Linked DNA regions of Rattus norvegicus. The protein of the gene in region 1 binds, or shares a complex with, the protein of each later gene. Links are inferred from orthologs where the notes say so. Each region holds a gene or a part of one and is shown in the gene's direction. Other genes may lie near its edges. The genes, in order: Odad1, Odad4, Odad3 and Clxn.

Region 1 (3,886 bases):
CATTTTGACACCTAGCGGGATGGTGGCACATTAGCTGCTGTGCCACGTTTATTTGATTTTTGTTTGTCAATGTCTCGGAGGGTGTCAGCAACATCATATCACGGCAGGGTGGTAATGCACTGGGGGATGTCTAGTGCTGTCTCGATCTTGGTTCCTGAATACTCCACTTCTTGGCGTGAGCATCATCTTGTGGGCTGTCCATCAAAACCAAGGGCTGCATAGCTTCAAGCGTAGGCATTTCTTACAGTCTGGAGGTCAGAAGAGCTGGTCCTTCAGAGGGCGTGAGGGCGGGTGTGCTCCTGTGTGCCTCTTTGATTCTGAATGGCTTAATTTCCTCCATCTTGCAACTTGACGCATTGAATGTCTACACCGTGGGTCCATTCTGTCTCCCTTGTTTTTGCATGTAGGTGTCCATGTGTGTGCTCTGCTATACAGGTGTGCACATAGGTACAGATGTGTGTGTTTGTGTATGTGTATATGTGTGCTTGTTTTCCTATCTGTTTTACAAGGTTAGGTGTGTCTGAAGCACATAGTGTGTCCTCTTGCGTTAGCAGTTACCGTACTCCAAGGGGCCTTGTCTCCTAAGAAATCACATCCCGAGGCACTGGGGACGTTTAGACTTCCAAAGGAGGAACCTAGAGGGATGCACTTCCACCTATAATAGTGGCTGTTACAAAGTTGTCCCTCTTTCTGTTATTTCCTCTTAGCAGAGTAGCCAAGACATCCTTTAGGAAGTTAAACATGAACCAGAATCAATCACGATATATGTTTAAAGAATATCCAGGGATGTCACAAGGCTTCTAAGGAGGGCAGCTGGAGGGACAGGCTCACTTGTGAGGGGAGACAGGACTCAGCTATGGTGTTTCTGTCATTACCATCAGTCTGTTCACCAATTAAATACAACTGGAAACATGGGGCTTAGGGCAAGGGGTGGTAACCTGGTGGCTTCTGGGATGCATGTGTTCCAGGTGGGATCTGAGCCCTGGCATTATTGAGCTGGTGGGAATGAGGTTTGTTTTCAGCCAACGTGTACCACCAAGGCAGCGTCATGGTAACTCTCCCTTTACCCTCTTGAACCTGAGGCTAGGCCAATGGACGTTGTGCCTGGCTGTCTGGGCTGCACAGAGTCATTCGCTCTTTGAAACTTGCCTTTGCAGGGAGGCTGTGGTTATGTACCGTGTGAGGGGAGCACAGGGGCCCTGACAAATATTCCTCTTTGATCCCAGATATCCAGGTTCTCTTCGACAAGGCTCAGTGTGACAACAGTGTCATCAAGGATCTCCTTGGGGTCAAGACCTACATGCGGGATAGGGACATAGGTCTCTTCCTGAGTACCATTGAGAAGCGGCTGGTGCAGCTTCTCACGGTGCAGGCCTTCCTTGAGGTCCAGGTGAGTAGGCAGGGACTTGGGTGTTGGCATCAGGCTTGGCCAGGCCTGCACTAACTCTAGACTCCCACACTCTCAGAACAATGTCCCTTTGGCTGATGCTGCGCTTCTGGCACTGGGTCAGAGCATACAGGAACCCCCAAAGAAGACTACCCCACTCAAGCCTCCTGACACCATGTGAGGCTTGGGCCCAGCAGGGAAGGGGCTGACCACAGGGGGCAGACAAAAGGGGTGGGGTGGAGGGCATGGGTATGGCTTTCGGATATGGCTTTCTCAGGCACAACGGGTGCAATGAGAGCTTGGAGGGAGGTCGGGATAGAGTGCGAAGATGGGGTGCTGATGCTCCAAGGGGAGGGGGCAGGAACAGGACGGCTGGGATCTATGTATGAGGCAGACCTATGAAACCAGACTTTCTACCTTTCTCCCACCTGAGGGAGGACTCCTCAGGGGTTGTAATCAAAGACGATTACCCTATGAGCAAGGAGGAACTGCTGAGTCAAGTCATGAAGTTGGTGAGAGAGGGGCTCTCGGGCCAGGGGGCGGTAGGAAGGATTTCTAAACCCGTTGACCCCCTAATATTGCCCACTTCCAGGTGCAGCTCCAGGATGAGGAGGGGTCTCCAAAGAAGCGGGACAGCAGCCCAAGTTTGACTCTTTCCAGCCCACGCATCTCCTTAGCAGCTGCCTCTGTGCACGCTAGAAAGGCCAGCGTAGTCCCTGAGTCTATCCTGAGCCACAAGACAGGCCGAGGCCGTGGCACTGGCTCCATAAGCCATGTCACCTTTGGTGACTCTGCTTCTGCTCCAGGCCCTGTGACCTTGGCTTCCACCAGTGCCAGTGGACTACCTGTGTCCGGCCGGGGCTCTCAGGGGGGGCGTGGGGCCTTCAAACACACTAGCTCCAGCAGCTACCTGGGGTCTACTGGGTATCTAGAGACCAGCAGAGGCCGCGAGAGCGGGACAGGAGGCGGTCACAGCCAAAGCATGGGATCCGAGATGAGTAGAGGCTTCAGCTCCGGCAGTGGCCAGACATCCAGTGCTGCCCCCGCCTCCAGGCCCAGCTCTGCTACCAGCAAGGACTCGAGGGGCTATAACTAGGGTTGCAGGTCCCCTTCTGTCTCAACCCTTGGCAGGTTTTCTAATTTGTGCCCTGCTCTTCCCCAGAGACTCCTTTCCAATCCCTGTAAGCCCAGGCCTCTTGAGCTTCCCTCCGTCTCTTCCCATCTGCTCCCATCGTTACCCTGCCTTGGCCTTGACTCTCTGTTGCCCTCCTCCTCCTCCTTGCTTCCCGTCTCTGCCCTCCTCAACCTCTCCCCGAAGCTTCCCTTCATCTGATGTCTCTGTCTCCTAACTGGATTTCCCTCCATTGACTTAGGTGAACCGTGACAATAGGAAATAAAGGTCAGAGCCCCGTTTTTCCAAGCCCGGCTCCTACAAGTGTGTTCAGACCTCATGCCTTCTGTTTCCAGCTTAGAGAGAAAAAATTGTGAGCCCCTCCCTATGTCTGCCTACCCCTGCATGCATGCATTAATCCATCTGTCGGGGTCTGGGAATCACTGCACGAACTGCCCGGATACCAATCTCAGTCAAATAGGGCTGGCTGGTTTACTGAAGGCACGGCCCAAGTTCAGGCTCGGGAGCTAAACTGCGACCCCCAGCCTGAATTCTACAGAGCTCTGAAGCCTGAGGTCCACAAATATCTGTGCCAAGCTATTCCACCAATCAGGACATAGGAATAGAGGACTTCTTAGGAACAAGTCTTTGTTTTACATTTATCCTGTTCTCATTGGATGGGTTCTTCAACTGTGGTGCGGGACTTGGCTTCCCTAACGTTCATGTCTCAACTTTGCCAACCAGGATGTCCATGCCTCTTTCTGTCAAGTAGAATGTCAATTCCTAGGGAGGCCTTGGGAATTTAAACTTTCTTTGACTTCTACTCAAAACGGAAGTTTTACTCCAAATGGCTTCTTATATTGGTGCAGGTGTCTCTCTAATCTCGGGGTCCATCCCAGGGGCAGCTTATAGAAGCAAACATCATAAAAAGCTCATATGGAAGTGCGAGAAGTGATGCTGGGCCGTGGGTTCCAGTTCTAGCTTATTGTGGCTTACTATACAAAGCAGTTCTAACTGACCTCCATTGTGATTGGTCTCTAAGAACACCAACACACAGAACTGTAACAGAATCTGCAATCAACTCAGGCAGGAGCGTCAGCACATGGGGAAGTTTTCTTGTAACATTAGTAACCACACGAAAGGGCTGGCTAGACAGGCAACAGTTACCCAGGCCTTAACACACCTAGCCATCTTCTGCGTTTTCCCTTTTATGGCTCTACCGGCATCTGTATCAGGACAGGCTGGGTTATGCTGCAGTGGCAAACGTCTTCCGCATCCGACGCTTCTGTGGCTAGGTTTCTCTTGCTCTGACATTCTTGCTTCTTTGTGGGTTCGTTAAGGCCTCCACTCCACATCATGCTCTTGCCCCAGGCTGACAGGACAACCTC
Region 2 (3,789 bases), on another chromosome or scaffold:
AATGAGAGGCTGACCTCTGATTCCAGTCTTGTCCAGTTAGTCACATTTGCTCCTGCTTCAACCTCCTGAGAGCTGGGATTTTCCAGGCCTCCACAACTGTTCGTTTTGGTTTGTCCTTTTTGTTTTGAAGCAAGGTCTCCTGTATGCCGGGCTGGCCTCAGATTTCCTCTGTAGCTGGGAATGGTCATCAACTCCTGATCCTCCCCTAGCCTCTATCCCCCAAGTCCTGGGTTTACAGGTGTGTGCCTCAACTCTCAGGGCTCCATCTCTCCAGTGCCTGCCCAGTGGTGGTAGCTGATTCCCTCAAAGAGAGGTCAGGCCTCTGTTTGTAGGTTGCATGGAGCAGTCAACAAGCCACGGAAGGGATAGCTAGGGGAAGAGGGCTAGGGAGAGGGGGATGGGCCAGGAAGCAGTTTCCCCTCCCCTGGGCCTGCCACCTGCAGATCCCCTGCCTTCTCAAGAAGACACTTCCTTGTCTGAACAGAAGAGGGCACTGTTGTTTATCTTTTTACCTCGGAATGACTGAGACCTTGTTAAACCACTCTCGATGACTTCCCTATGAGCAGCTTCCAGAAGAAGAGCGTGAAGGATACCCAGGAGGTGATGGTGACTTTTCTGCAGTTATCAGACAAAGAGCAAGAGTTATAGGACGGCAGCTCTCCAGCAGCCCCTCTTGCTTACGGCCCGCTCATATGTTTACAAAAGAACTCAACACTGACTGCTCCCCAGGGACCAGTGCAAAGGTGGCAGGATCGGGAGTCACTGGAAAAAAGACCCCATGTCACTCCTCAACACCCATGCCATTTTTGTCAAGGGAGGAAGGATGTTTTTTGCATCCCAGCGGTGAAGGCGAGGTTATGGGAGGTTCTGATACAGAGTGATGTTTCAGACCAGGAGCCTGTGGCAATGGCTGCTTACACGGTGTGGACCAGAGAATGAACACCCATGGGCTAGAGAGATGGCTCAGTGGTTAAGAGCACTGACTGCGGGGTTGGGGATTTAGCTCAGTGGTAGAGCGCTTGCCTAGGAAGCGCAAGGCCCTGGGTTCGGTCCCCAGCTCCGAAAAAAAAGAACCAAAAAAAAAAAAAAAAAAAAAAAAAAAAAGAGCACTGACTGCTCTTCCAGAGGTCCTGAGTTCAATTCCCAGCAACCACATGGTGGCTCACAACTACCTGTAATGGAGTCCAATGCCTTCTTCTGGTGTGTCTGAAGACATGGACAGTAAACTCACATAAATAAATCTTTAAAAAAAAGAAAAAAGAATAAGTACCTACGCCATCTCTTTCTTTGTATATGAGCACACTGTCGCTGTCTTCAGACACACCAGAAGAGGGCATCAGATCCCATTACAGATGGTCGTGAGCCACCATGTGGTTGCTGGGATTTGAACTCAGGACCTCTGGAAGAGCAGTCAGTTCTCTTAACCACTGAGCCACCTCTCCAGCCCCGTGTCATTTCTTTTTTTTTTTTTTTTCTTTTTCTTTTTTTCGGAGCTGGGGACCGAACCCAGGGCCTTGCGCTTGCTAGGCAAGCACTCTACCACTGAGCTAAATCCCCAGCCCCTGTGTCATTTCTTGTAGGGAAAGGAGCCGGGTATTTTTGGGGTCAGGCGGTCCAGGGTTGAAGTTCTGGTTTTGTTCTTTCTCGGAGGGGGATCGTGGTGAGATCTCCTCTGCGCCAGTCTCCCTCGCAATTGCACGGTAATGGAGCATGCAGCATCTCACCCGATGCCAGAGCAGAACTTCTTCAGGACCCGAGCAATGGCCGGTCCTCTCCTTTGGGAAGCGTGTGGCCATGTGACCAAGGCCACCCTCCCGTCCTTGCTGCGCTCGCTCGCTCGCTCGCTCGCTCGGAGAAGCCCAGGCAGGCTGTCTCATCCTGCACCACCCCGTTCTGTTTTCCAGAGGACATCAGTTCACAGATGGAGTTTTCGGGAGCATCGGAGAAGGAAACGAGACGAGGTCGAGAAGAGCAGGAGAGGGTGGTGAAGCAGTGGGAGAGGGAACTGGAGAGTGAGAGAGAGGCCACGGAAGATGAAGAGGGGTCGAAGCAGAGGCTGCTGAGGGTGGAGGAGCAAGACGGAAGCAGCTCAGGACTCACGAGCAGCAAAATGATGTTGGGAGACACCCCTTCGACAAGCCAAATGATGAGAAGAGAGTCCAGGGAAATCTACCGAAGGATCTCAGAGGACTCCACCCAACCAACCCTAGATGATATCAGCCAAAACCAGGAGAAGCCATCAGAAACAGCCATGGAGGAGAGGCTGGAGAAAACAGAAGAGGACGAATCGAAATCGGAAACTATTTAACAACTGAGGAAAGGCTGAGGGCTGGCTTAGTGAGCTCGAGGTTCAGGCGGCCAGTGTTCCCAGGTGAGACGTCTGGATAGGACGAGCTGGGAGACTGACTCCTACATACCATACCCCATGTGCCCCTGCTCCCCCATTAAATATGCGTCTTTCATTTTTATAGATCTTGAGTGAGTGAGTCACTGCGCCTCCTCCTACCCCTCATTCTCAGTAGGGACCAACAGAAGAGATGAGCGGGGTGGGTGGGGGGGAAGCAGGTGAGCTCCAGAGAGCACTGAGAGAACAGGAAAAGAAAGCCCCGAGAACAGAAGCGTTTCTGCCTGCTTCTCGGCCACTGGCTCAGTTTCCCCGGAGATACGCTATGTGCACAAGGCCGAGCAGTGGGATGAGGATAGACAGAAACCACAGCTCAGCTGAGATTATCAGATTGTGAGCCATCTTATAAAGCCTGTAGGCCTTCAGAATAGATCAGAGTAGAAGCTGGACCTACAGGCAGACTGTCTGGGAAAGAGTCCTGAGGGCCCACCGCCGCCTCTGTGCAGCTCAGGCTGCCCTGGGAAGATTAGTTACTAGAACACCGCAGAAATGCCACCCAGAAGGCTGTGATTTCCCAGAGTTGGCGTGTAAACATCTGGCCCCAAAAGGATCGAGGCTGGGCTGGAGAGATGGCCCAGCGGTTAACAGCTGTGCTGAGTTCAATTCCTAGCAACCACATGGTGGCTCCCAACCATCTGAAATGAGGCTGGAGAGATGGCTTAGCAGGCTTGAGCTCTTCAAGAGGACCTGAGTTCAATTCCCAGCACTCAGATGGCAGCTCCCAACTGTCTGTAACTCTAGTTCCAGGAGGTTCTAAACCCCCACACAGACACATATGCAGGCAAAACACCAATATATATAAAATAAAAGTAATCTATTAAGCCAGTCGGTGTCGATGCACACCTTTAGTCCCAGCCATTGTAGAGGCAGAGGCAGACAGATCTCTGTGAGTTTGAGGCCAGCCTGGTCTACACAGTGAGTTCCAGGATAGCCAGAGCCGGACAGAGAAAGCCTGTCTCAATGAAATAAAAAGTACATTTTAATTTATTTTTGTGTGTGCATTTATGTGTGTGGACCTACATACCATGACATGCCCATGGCAGTCAGAGTAGAAGAAGTTGAGGGAGTTGGTTCTCAGGGCCTTGAAGTTCAATTCAGGATAACATGCTTGGTCATGTTAACAAAACTATCTCAACTGCTCCTGAGAAATTATATATAATTATATAAGTTTGTTTGTTTTGGTTTTTTTTTTTTGTTTTTTGTTTTTTTTTTTTTTTGAGACAGGGTGCCTGTGTGTAGCCCTGGTTGTCCTGGAACTCACTCTGTAAACCAGGCTGGCCTTGAACTCACAGAGATCTTCCTGCCGCTGCCTCCTGAGTCCTGGGATCAAAGAAATGTCCCACCACGCCTGGCTATATTTTAATGAACTGTTTAAAAAAAAAGTG
Region 3 (4,787 bases), on another chromosome or scaffold:
GTGGCCTCATACTAATGCCAATAATGCATCAGCTAAGCTTTATGAGTGAGAGGGAGAGAAGAGAGAGACAGAGAGAGAGGAAAGAAAGAAAAGGAAAGGAAACAAAAAAGAAAAGGGATACAAAACAAAACAAAACTCCAGGGCTGGAGCAATGGCTCAGTGGTTTAGAGCAAAGGACCTGGGTTTGGTTCCCAGCACCCACATGGCTGCTCACAGATGTCTGTAACCCCAGCTGCTTGGGATCCAATGCCCTCTTCTGACATCCTGGCACAGATACACATGCAGACAAAACACCATTACACATAAAATTAAAGATGAAGTAAAAGTGTAAGTAATGTTATAGGAGATGAGCTAGGGACCTGAGGAGGCGGCTCAGTCAGTGACGTGCTTGCTGTGCAAACATGAGACCCTGAGCCTGATTTCCAGAACCTATATAAAAATCTGAGTGTGGGAGCTGGAGAGATGGCTTAAGGGCATTGACTACTCTTCTAGAGGTCCTGAGTTCAATTCCCAGCAACCACATGGTGGCTAGCAACTATCTTAGTGGTTATGCCCTCTTCTGGCATAAAGGCATATATGCAGTCAGAGCGCACATACACACAAATAAATTAATTAATCAATTAATTAATTAAAGTCAGGCATGGTGCATTTGCCTTTAATTCCAGCAGAGGCAGATGGATCTCTGAGTTCCAGGCCAGCCAGGTCTACATAGTGAGTTCCAAGACAGGGTAACACAGAAAAACCCTGTCTTGAAAAACAAAAAACAAGGGGTTGGGGATTTAGCTCAGTGGTAGAGCGCTTGCCTAGCAAGCACAAGGCCCTGGGTTCGGTCCCCAGCTACAGAAGGAAAAAAAACAAAAAACAAAAAACAAAAAACAAAACAAACAGAATTCTGATCGCGAGCTGCAGAGATGGCCAAACAGGTAAAAGTGCTTTTTGCCGAGTCTAGTGTCAACCTCTGAGGCCCAGATAGTGGAAGAACCGATTCCCTCCCATAGTTCTCCTCTGACCTCCACATGTGCCCCCAGAAACATGGAAAGGCATGTTCTGACCTCTGTGTACTCAGGTCCTGGAGCAGGTGCACGTGCGCAGAGAGAGAGACTGAAGGAGTGGCTGAGACAGTGGAGGGTTTTCCTAGCACACAGCCTGAAACCCCGCTGCTCTCCAGGGCCTCAGAAAATGGGGGTTCGATGGTGTACTGATATGATCCCAACACCCAGAAAGTCTATGCAGAAAGATCAGAAGTTCAAATTTATCTCTGGCTGCACACAAAGTTCAAAGCCAATCTAGACCTTATGAGACCATGTCTTGAAAATATAAATAAATAAATATAAACAAATAAATAAATAAATGTAAAAGAGATCTGGGAATAGCTGCACACACAAGGCTCAAATTTTCCTATGGGTTCTCTCTCTCTCTCTCTCTCTCTCTCTCTCTCTCTCTCTCTCTCTCACATACGGATAGAAAAAAGAAAAGCATCAGATGCCAAGGGTTCTGGAAAGCAGGTAGGAGACCAGAGAGACAAGGGCTTCCAGGAGAACTCAAGGACTTGGGAGAGCAAGCTGAGGCTCTGTTCTCCGTCCTCCCCTACAGCAGGCCCTGGAGCACCTGGAGCACCAGTTGAGGGAGAAGATGAACCAGCTGAATGCCTTACGACACCAGGTAATCCTTCGGCAGAAACGGCTGGAGGAACTGAGGCTGCAGCACAGCCTGCGGCAGCTGGAGATGGCAGAGATCCAAGACAGCAACACAGAGGCCGCCAAGGTGGGGCCTGCTGAGGGCTGCAGGGTCCTGGGGGAGGCATGGTGGGTGGAAGGAACTTGGCCTAGCCCTGCCGTCCCCTAGACCATGCGCAACCTGGAGAACCGGCTGGAGAAGGCCCGGATGAAAGCAGAGGAGGCAGAGCACATCACCAATGTGTACCTGCAGCTCAAGTCTTACCTTCAGGTAGGAACACTGGAGAGAGAGGGAGGGGAAGAAGATGGACCTGACCAGGGACAGCAGTCACAGCCTTCCCTCTCTCCATATGCCAGGAGGAGAGTCTCAACTTGGAGAACCGGCTGGATTCCATGGAAGCTGAGGTGATGAACACCAAACATGAAGTGCAGGAGCTGAAAGTGGTGAACCAAGAGGCTATAAATGCCCGGGACATTGCCAAGGTACTTGCCTTCTTGTCCCAGATGGGGCAGGGGCGGGGGTACTTGCCTTCTTGTCCCAGATGGGGCAGGGGTGGGGGCCCTTCTCATATACCAGAGTTTTACAGGACTTTCCCTGGATAGATGGTGCTCTCTCTTCCCACATAAAACACTAACCACGAGGCTGGAGAGATGGCTCAGTGGTTAAGGGCACTGACTGCTCTTCCAGAGGTCCTGAGTTCAATTCCGAGCAACCACATGGTGGCTCGCAGCCATCTGTAATGGGATCCGATGCCCTCTTCTGGTGTATCTGAAGACAGTGACAGAGTATTCATATGAAATAAATAAATCTAAACATTAAAAAAAAAAAACACTAACCACTGACAGGTGGGTTGATGCATGTTTTTTGGTTCTTTTTTTTTTTTGGTTCTTTTTTTTTTCGGAGCTGGGGACCGAACTCAGGGCCTTGCGCTTCCTAGGTAAGCGCTCTACCACTGAGCTAAATCCCCAGCCCCTTGATGCATGCTTTTAATCTCCATGTTTGGAGGCGGAGGCAGGATCTCTGTGAATTCCAGGCCAGCCTAGTCTACATAGAGAGTTCTAGGTCACCCTGGGCTACAAAGTTACAAAAATAAAATAAAACCAAACCCCAACCACTCCACCAAAGACCAACTTGGAGAACAATGAGTTTATGAGGCTTTCTTCCAGAACATGGGTGAAGGGGGTCACTGACATGAAAGTGGGATCTCTAGAGTTCCATTCATCAGAGTCCCCTCATCAGAGTCAGATAGGGTTCCCATTGCTGTGAACAGACACTATGACCAAGGCAACTCTTATAAGGACAACGTTTAATCAGGGTTGGCTTACAGGTCAGAGGGTCAGTTCAGTATTATCAAGCCAGGAGCATGGCGGCATCCAGGCAGGCACACCTCTATAGAGTTCTATATCTTGTTCTGATGGCAACCAGGAAAAGACAGACTTCCTCATTCAGCTAGGAGGAGGATCTCAAAGCCCACCCCCACAGTGACACACTTGCTCCAACAAGGCCACACCTATTCCAACAAAGCCACACTTTGTAATAATGTCACTCTGACCAAGCATTCAAACACATGAGTCTGTGGGAGCCAACCCTATTCAAACCAACACACCCATTCACTGTAACATGGGGGTGGGGAGGAGACTTGTGAATCTTGTTTCTTGAGCATTGTAAGCTTCATGGACTTCCTGAGCCTTGGGCCTCCCTCTCTCTAGTGGGGAGTGTTTCAGTTCAGAGGAAATAGTTCAGGAATACCAAGAGAGCAGAGACTCTAGTCAGAATTCACTTGTCTTTAGCCTCTCCTGGCAATCACATGCTATTGGGTCGCGTGGTGCCCACTGCTCCACTATAGCTGGACAGATACCAAGTGCCCGCCTGTCCCCTAGAACCAGCTGCAGTATCTGGAGGAGACTGCGATCAGAGACCGCAAGAAGCGTGACCATTACATAACTGACTGCAAGAAGCGGGCGGAAGAGAAGAAACTCCAGACGGAGCGTATGGAGCGCAAGGTGTGCATACCTAAGCGGGTAGGGCTTTGCCAGTTCAAACCAGAGGGTCCTAGTCCCCGCTTTGTGTACACATCCTGAGGTAGAGGCTTCCCTACACCTGGCGTCTATCCTAACCCCTCCCCTCCCTGACTCCGCCCCCATTTGGCACAATGGTTCCTCTCACAACCTCACCTCAGCCTCTTTTCCAGGGACAAGCCATGGGCTCCAGTTCTGCCCTGAACTATCTGACCCTGTTCTCATCCTTCCCCATTTGATTTAGGCCCCTGTTCTATATCTGAGTGGGGGTCTAGCTCACCCCTTCCAGAGACTACTCCTTCTATGACTCTGGCTCCTTACCTGGTTCTGAGACCACCTATCTGACTCCTACCTGGATGCCTGAACCTGGCCCCAAGCCTTTGTCCTGTTCCCCACAATCTAAGCTAAGTCGAATCGAGGCCCCTGCCCCAAGCCCTTTATCTGGAGTTGATGTTGACAGTTCCCTTGACTGTCCCCCACTCTCAAGCAGACCCACCGAGACCACGTACTCCTGCAGTCAGAAGATACAATACAGGACCACCAACGCCACAAGGAGCAGGAGCTGCGGCAGCGCTGGAGCATGTACCAGATGGAAGTGATGTTTGGCAAGGTCAAAGATGCCACTGGAGTAGCTGAGTCGCATGTGAGTACCCTGGGCTCACACCAGGCAAGCAAATGCTCCTTTTTGCTTCAAGGTGTCCTCTCCTGTCTCCTCTATCTCCAGCAGAGCTGTCCACCTTAGCCCTACTTCCTTCCACTCTTCCCCTGAGCTGACTTCTTTGGTACGTCGGTTCTGGGAGTTTTATTTGTCAGGTTCCGTTTCTCAGACCATCACAGTGTGGAATGGTCTAGGATTCAGTGATCTGTCCAGATCATGCCTATGGTGGAACCAGGGCCTTGTTCTGGGCCTACTCTTGGTAATAGTGGCGATGCCTTCCAAGACCTCGTGTATCTCTGCTGCATGATCCTGCTTTAGAACAGCACCCCCCTCTTCTCCCTGTCCCCCGCCAGTCACTTTCTCCAGATTAGGTTCTCTGCTACTCCTCAAAGGGGGTTCATTCCCAGGAGATCAGGGACTCTGACCTGTGAGAT
Region 4 (5,221 bases), on another chromosome or scaffold:
CTGTCAACTTGCCTCACCATCCATGGAAGCCTGCTTCTTAAGACACCTCATATGTCCATGATTTTGCCATTAATTCTGTGATGTAAAGAACAAACTCTAAGATTTTATGGGAACCAGATCACAGTATTTCCAGTCCCCATTTGCTTCTAGTACCCCAGAGCTTCTTGGCTTCTAGATGTGAGGACACTGGCACTATTTCATATTGCTTAACAGTTCTCAATTTTCTTTAAGGAGGAACAGTCCCTCGGGTTACTCAGGGTTTTTGGTTCTGGTTTCAAACAACACTGCAATTATTTCTACAAATAAAACAGTAAAAGAAAACCGGGGACCCCCAAAACTGGTACTATTTCATATTGGGCTGTTCCTTATTCTTAGCACAATGTATCTATTTCAGGTTGAAAGAACATTATGTTTACAATAAACTACTGTAATTCTCCAGCCTTTTAGATCTGAAGGTTCATGTTGAGGTAGCTCATTCATTTGCATCGAAATTCAAGAGGAGCATCCCATGTGTTGTTGAGTAAAGCAAAGGGTATTGCAGCCCATCCCTCCCTTTCCTTTCCTTTCCTTTCCTTTCCTTTCCTTTCCTTTCCTTTCCTTTCCTTTCCTTTCCTTTCCTTTCCTTTCCTTTCCTTTCCTTTCCTTTCCTTCTCTCTCTCTCTCTCTCTCTCTCTCTCTCTCTCTCTCTCTCTTTCCTTCCTTCTTTCTTTCAACAGAGCCAGAACTTGTCTTAAATATAAACAAAGGATCAATTTTAATGGGAATTTTAAAAAAGCAAACTTCAGTTATAAGCCATACCTAAGTGGGAACCTATTTCCATAGAAGAGAATGTATTTTTAATTAATGAACTTAAAATCACTGGTCTTTTGCAAATTTCCCCAATCCAACGAGTGAGACAGAAGATAGAGAGAGGGAGAGGGAGAGGGAGAGGGAGAGGGAGAGGGAGAGGGAGAGAGAGAAGAGGAAGAGAAGTAAGAGGAGGAGGGAAGGAGGGAGGGAGGCAGGCAGGCAGGGAGGGAGGGAGGGAGGGACGGAGGGAGGGAGGAAGGGAGGGAGGGAGGGGAGAGGGAGATCTACTTTCTCTTAATTGTTCAGACTCCTTTCTGGCAATTGCTCGGATGACACCCCTACTTCACTCCAGCACCCCCACAGATCTCCCTGAGAAACCTAAATCCTTCTTGTGCTCATCACACGAAACATCTATCCAGTTTGCACACCTTACTCTTCTAATTATGATGCAGTCTTGAGAGGCTGTGAACCGAAAAGATGGTGTGACAAGTGAAAATAAAAATTTCCAACACGGCAAACATTACAGTCTGCAAAGTGACAGGCTAGAAAGCTGCAACTGGGACTAAATGTAGGCACAGTGCCTATTCTGGGAAGCCTTGACTGGCAGGCATTACTGAGCTGACCAGGCTGCCTCCCAGACAGGAGGCAATCAGTGTACCGCCAGGCCGTTGCCACGGCTGCTCTGCAGAGGCTGCTTTAAACTCGAGAGCGCCCCGCCCCTGGGAGCCAATTGGTAGCCCTCTGAGGCGTTGTCATGGCTACAGTCTGTTGGGGTCGCAAAGGCGCAAAAGCTCAGAGCCATCTGGCTACACCAGGCTCCCTCGGCCTGGCGCTCCGGAGCCGGAGCGTCCTGGCACTATGCTCTGGATGACACACTAAAATCTAATTTTCTTAACACCGATCATGAACCGAAAGAAACTGCAGAAGTTGACGGACACCTTAACTAAAAGTTGCAAGCACTGTAAGTAAGAACCGAATGCGAGAGGACCCATGGCTTCTGGACTAGATCTCTTTCTACCCAGTCCCCACTTCCTGCTTTCATCAGCAATGGCCCCTCCAAACTCCCCCTCAAGAGAATCTGGAAGGGAATCCCTTTCTGGAGTTCCAGGTCCTTGGGAGGCATCCTGTCCCATCTCAAGCATCTAGTGTGTGATCTGCCCGAGCTCCCTCTTTATTTGCTTTTATGTTAGAGAAGCAATATGGTGTGTTGTGTGTCTGGGAGGTATGTGGGTTCAGCTTTAAACAGGTTGAAAAGTAAGTCCTAGAAAAACACCAGAATCAAGAAAGTAGAAGAGCCATAACCTACTTTCTGGCTCTTTCTAGAGCAAAAGAAGCTGAGGTCTAAGCTCTGGAAGTTTGCTAAGATATCCATAAAGAAAACAGTCATCACCATTAAGAAAGAGACTTGAAGTGTTACAGGCACTGTCTTAGGCATTCTTTTGAAAAATGTATTGCTCAGCAAATCTAAGATGGTAAGGAATCTGTCCCCAGTTTCAGATATTCAATTTCCAACTCGCAGTCATATCCACAGGTAAAGGAGATCCTGCGGTTGACCAAACACCAGAGCATTGTACTCGGACTGAAAAATAAGCTATTCTTGGGCTGAGAAGCAGTGTGATTCTCAATTGAGATTAGAGCAGTATTGTTTGATGTGTGAATTTAGAAGCTGTGTGATAGTCACAGTAGACACTAGAAGAGCTACTGGTCACAATGAAAATCGAGAGGTCACATCTTCAAACCACCTCTGTTGTATGAAGGTGTGGAAGTGAACTTCTAGTGCAGCTCTGGAGTTTTTGGGCCTAGCACATTTATATCATTAGTATCTAACACAGTGTATGAGAATTGATACCATGGGAGTAGTGCCCTGACTGAAAACTATGATACATTGTTACACTGCGAGCATCTTAAAATTCTCAGAAAGTGTCAGGCTGTCATTTAAGTTGTTTATTAATGTGATAAGAGATGGTGTTCTTTTGTTGTTTATATGAAATGCTTTCATCTCTGGGAGAATATCTGATATTTTTAAAATGAGTACAAACATTTCTGTAATCAGAAATTGATACATTAATAACTGGCACATACAATGTTTATTTGATTGAGTACGCTTCGTAAGTTCACAATTCTTCATGAACTGTGATAACAATTTAAAAAATAAAGAGGTGAGGGTATTTTTCCTATTTCCAAGAGCCATATACTATTTGACACAAAATTCAATGCCAGACTTGGGAAAGCTCCAGGCCAATTATTGGTTAGGAGAATACATGAGATTTCCAAGACAATATGAGCTGCAGCTGTTGCCTTTGTCTTCCAGAACTTGAAAGTGAGACCCTATTGCTGAAGACATCACACACTTAAGAGACAGAATTCATAGAAATTGACATGGAGCTGGCCTGGAAACCCTGAGGACTAGCTCTTATATTTTAAAGTGTTATGCATGCTGCCAAGAGAGAGGAGCAATCAGTAGTCCTACCCAGAGAAAAGCCTATGAGCCAGAAAAACAACTGGGCTGGCAAAAGATCCACCATACTGCAAGGTGGCACTTTTATCTTGCAAGTAACCACCAGCTGTTTAATTGGTCTGAGCAGGAGAGGCCTCGTGTCTGGTACTATAATCCTAGACAACTAACCATGGCTGGAACATGAACCCTAAAGGAGAACCTACAATTGCCATTTTCCTAAACCAGAATAATTTCTAACTGTATTCTAAATAATTATTCCTGTAGCCACAAATAAGTGTAGTTTTCATTCTGCATCAAGTAAGTCTCTTTCTCAACAGATAGAGACTATTTCAGAGAAGCACAGTTTGTCATTATGCAAGAATAAGGGACCATGAGGTACCTAACCCAAACTGATACATATGCAACACAATCAATCAATCTCTCTCTCTCTCTCTCTCTCTCTCTCTCTCTCTCTCTCTCTCTCTTTCTTTCTTTCTTCAGGTACCCTGTTCTCAGTTCAATGGTTTGCTGCTAGCATTTGCCTCTCTATTTCTCATTCTCTGGCTGAACTTCTCAGGAGCAGGCTCTGAATGGCAGTTCCTTCAGTCTCTGCTCCAAACTTTGTCTCTATATCCCCTCCTATGAATATTTTTGTTCCCCCTTTTAAGGAGTGAAGCGTCCACACTTTGGTCGTCCACTTTGGCCTGTGGATTGTATCTTGGGTAATTCCAGCTTTTGGGCTAATATCCACTTATCAGTGAGTGCAATACCATGTGCGTTTTTCTGTGATTGAGTTACCTCATTCAGGATGATATTTTCTAGTTCATTCCATTTGCCTATGAATTTCATGAAGTCATTGTTTTTGATAGCTGAGTAGCATTCCATTGTGTAGATGTACCACATTTTCTGTATCCATTCCTCTGTTGAAGGGCATCTGGGTTATTTCCAGCTTCTGAATATTATAAATAAGGCTGCTATGAACATAGTGGATCATGTGTCTTTGTTGTATATTGGAGCATCTTTTGGGTATATGCCCAAGAGAGGTATAGCTGGGTCCTCAGGTAGTGCAATGTCCAATTTTCTGAGGAACCTCCAGACTGATTTCCAGAGTGGTTGTACCAGCCTGCAATCCAACCAACAATGGAGGAGTGTTCCTCTTTCTCCACATCCTCACCAGCATCTGTTGTCACCTGAGTTTTTGATCTTAGCCATTCTGACTGGTGTGAAGTGGAATCAGAGTTGTTTTGATTTGCATTTCCCTGATGACTAAGGATGTTGAGCATTTCTTTAGGTGCTTCCCAGCCATTTGATTTTTTCTCAGCTGAGAATTCTTTGTTTAGCTCTGTACCCTATTTATAATAGGTTTATTTGACTCTCTGGAATCTAACTTGAGTTCTTTGTATATTTTGGATATTAGCCCTCTATCAGATATAGGATTGGTAAAGATCTTTTCCCAATCTGTTGGTTGCCATTTTGTCCTAATGACAGTGTCCTTTGCCTTACAGAAGTTTTGCAGTTTTATGAGGTTCCATTTGTGGATATTTCTAAGACTCAGAGAAAAATCAAAGAAGAGGGAGAAGACAGCTTTTAAGAGTTAGAAGACCAAGATGCTAGCTACTATATAGCATCCCTAGACATGACCAGGAAAATGCAGCCATAAAAACTCAACAGTATAATTTTGGGAACATGATCAGAGGAAAGACAACATTGGTTGACTTGTCAGTGTGTACAGAGGAAATAGGTGCAGCTCCTAGTTAAAGTGCTATACTCTACAGCATTCTACATAGCTTCTCTCTCTCTCTCTCTCTCTCTCTCTCTCTCTCTCTCTCTGTGTGTGTGTGTGTGTGTGTGTGTGTGTGTGTGTGTGTGTGTATACACAGCAATTTAAAAGGTCATGAATTTGGAAGGAATTGGAGATTATGAGATGGGGAGGAGTTAATGGAAAGGAAGGAGAGACAATGATGTAGGTGCACTGTTCACATATGAAGTAGTCAA

What was found.
Region 2: Odad1 (region 1) and Odad4 share a complex: the UniProt entries of both Homo sapiens proteins name them as parts of the outer dynein arm-docking complex. The link is inferred for Rattus norvegicus from reciprocal best matches to the Homo sapiens genes ODAD1 and ODAD4.
Region 3: the proteins of Odad1 (region 1) and Odad3 are in contact, whole or in part, in a cryo-EM structure (PDB 9CPB), measured with the Bos taurus proteins. The link is inferred for Rattus norvegicus from reciprocal best matches to the Homo sapiens genes ODAD1 and ODAD3. Residues at the interface, in XP_024834988.1 of Bos taurus: Leu31, Gln32, Gln34, Cys35, Met38, Glu41, Arg42, Tyr45, Val49, Arg52, Ile53, Gln56, Leu57, Glu59, Ile60, Leu63, Glu64, Val66, Arg67, Leu70, Arg71, Gln73, Ile74, Ala77, Gln78, Asp86, Arg89, Leu90, Ser92, Met93; in NP_001095517.1 of Bos taurus: Gln69, Leu73, Lys76, Ile77, Leu79, Leu80, Asp83, Arg84, Phe87, Tyr88, Thr91, Asn94, Ile95, Asn98, Gln99, Thr101, Ile102, Leu105, Arg106, Glu108, Thr109, Leu112, Gln113, Gln115, Leu116, Leu119, Gly122, Asp123, Val126, Ala129.
Region 4: Odad1 (region 1) and Clxn share a complex: the UniProt entries of both Homo sapiens proteins name them as parts of the outer dynein arm-docking complex. The link is inferred for Rattus norvegicus from reciprocal best matches to the Homo sapiens genes ODAD1 and CLXN.

The regions. Positions count from the first base shown.
Region 1 is NC_086019.1:105,554,540-105,558,425, forward strand, and holds the end of Odad1 (outer dynein arm-docking complex subunit 1), read left to right. Parts: intron 1-1,226; coding exon 1,227-1,390; intron 1,391-1,466; coding exon 1,467-1,564; intron 1,565-1,820; coding exon 1,821-1,899; intron 1,900-1,979; coding exon 1,980-2,483; 3' UTR 2,484-2,819; downstream 2,820-3,886. UniProt on the Homo sapiens protein: Component of the outer dynein arm-docking complex (ODA-DC) that mediates outer dynein arms (ODA) binding onto the doublet microtubule. Involved in mediating assembly of both ODAs and their axonemal docking complex onto ciliary microtubules.
Region 2 is NC_086028.1:86,006,474-86,010,262, forward strand, and holds the end of Odad4 (outer dynein arm-docking complex subunit 4), read left to right. Parts: intron 1-1,904; coding exon 1,905-2,308; 3' UTR 2,309-2,470; downstream 2,471-3,789. UniProt on the Homo sapiens protein: Component of the outer dynein arm-docking complex (ODA-DC) that mediates outer dynein arms (ODA) binding onto the doublet microtubule. Plays an essential role for the assembly of ODA-DC and for the docking of ODA in ciliary axoneme.
Region 3 is NC_086026.1:28,799,578-28,804,364, reverse strand, and holds part of Odad3 (coiled-coil domain-containing protein 151), read left to right. Parts: intron 1-1,593; coding exon 1,594-1,764; intron 1,765-1,845; coding exon 1,846-1,947; exon of another isoform or gene 1,948-2,033; coding exon 2,034-2,159; intron 2,160-2,312; exon of another isoform or gene 2,313-2,445; intron 2,446-3,557; coding exon 3,558-3,680; intron 3,681-4,182; coding exon of another isoform or gene 4,183-4,185; coding exon 4,186-4,338; intron 4,339-4,787. UniProt on the Homo sapiens protein: Component of the outer dynein arm-docking complex (ODA-DC) that mediates outer dynein arms (ODA) binding onto the doublet microtubule. Involved in mediating assembly of both ODAs and their axonemal docking complex onto ciliary microtubules.
Region 4 is NC_086029.1:99,497,032-99,502,252, reverse strand, and holds the start of Clxn (calaxin), read left to right. Parts: upstream 1-1,570; 5' UTR 1,571-1,692; coding exon 1,693-1,750; intron 1,751-5,221. UniProt on the Homo sapiens protein: Component of the outer dynein arm-docking complex (ODA-DC) that mediates outer dynein arms (ODA) binding onto the doublet microtubule. Seems to regulate the assembly of both ODAs and their axonemal docking complex onto ciliary microtubules.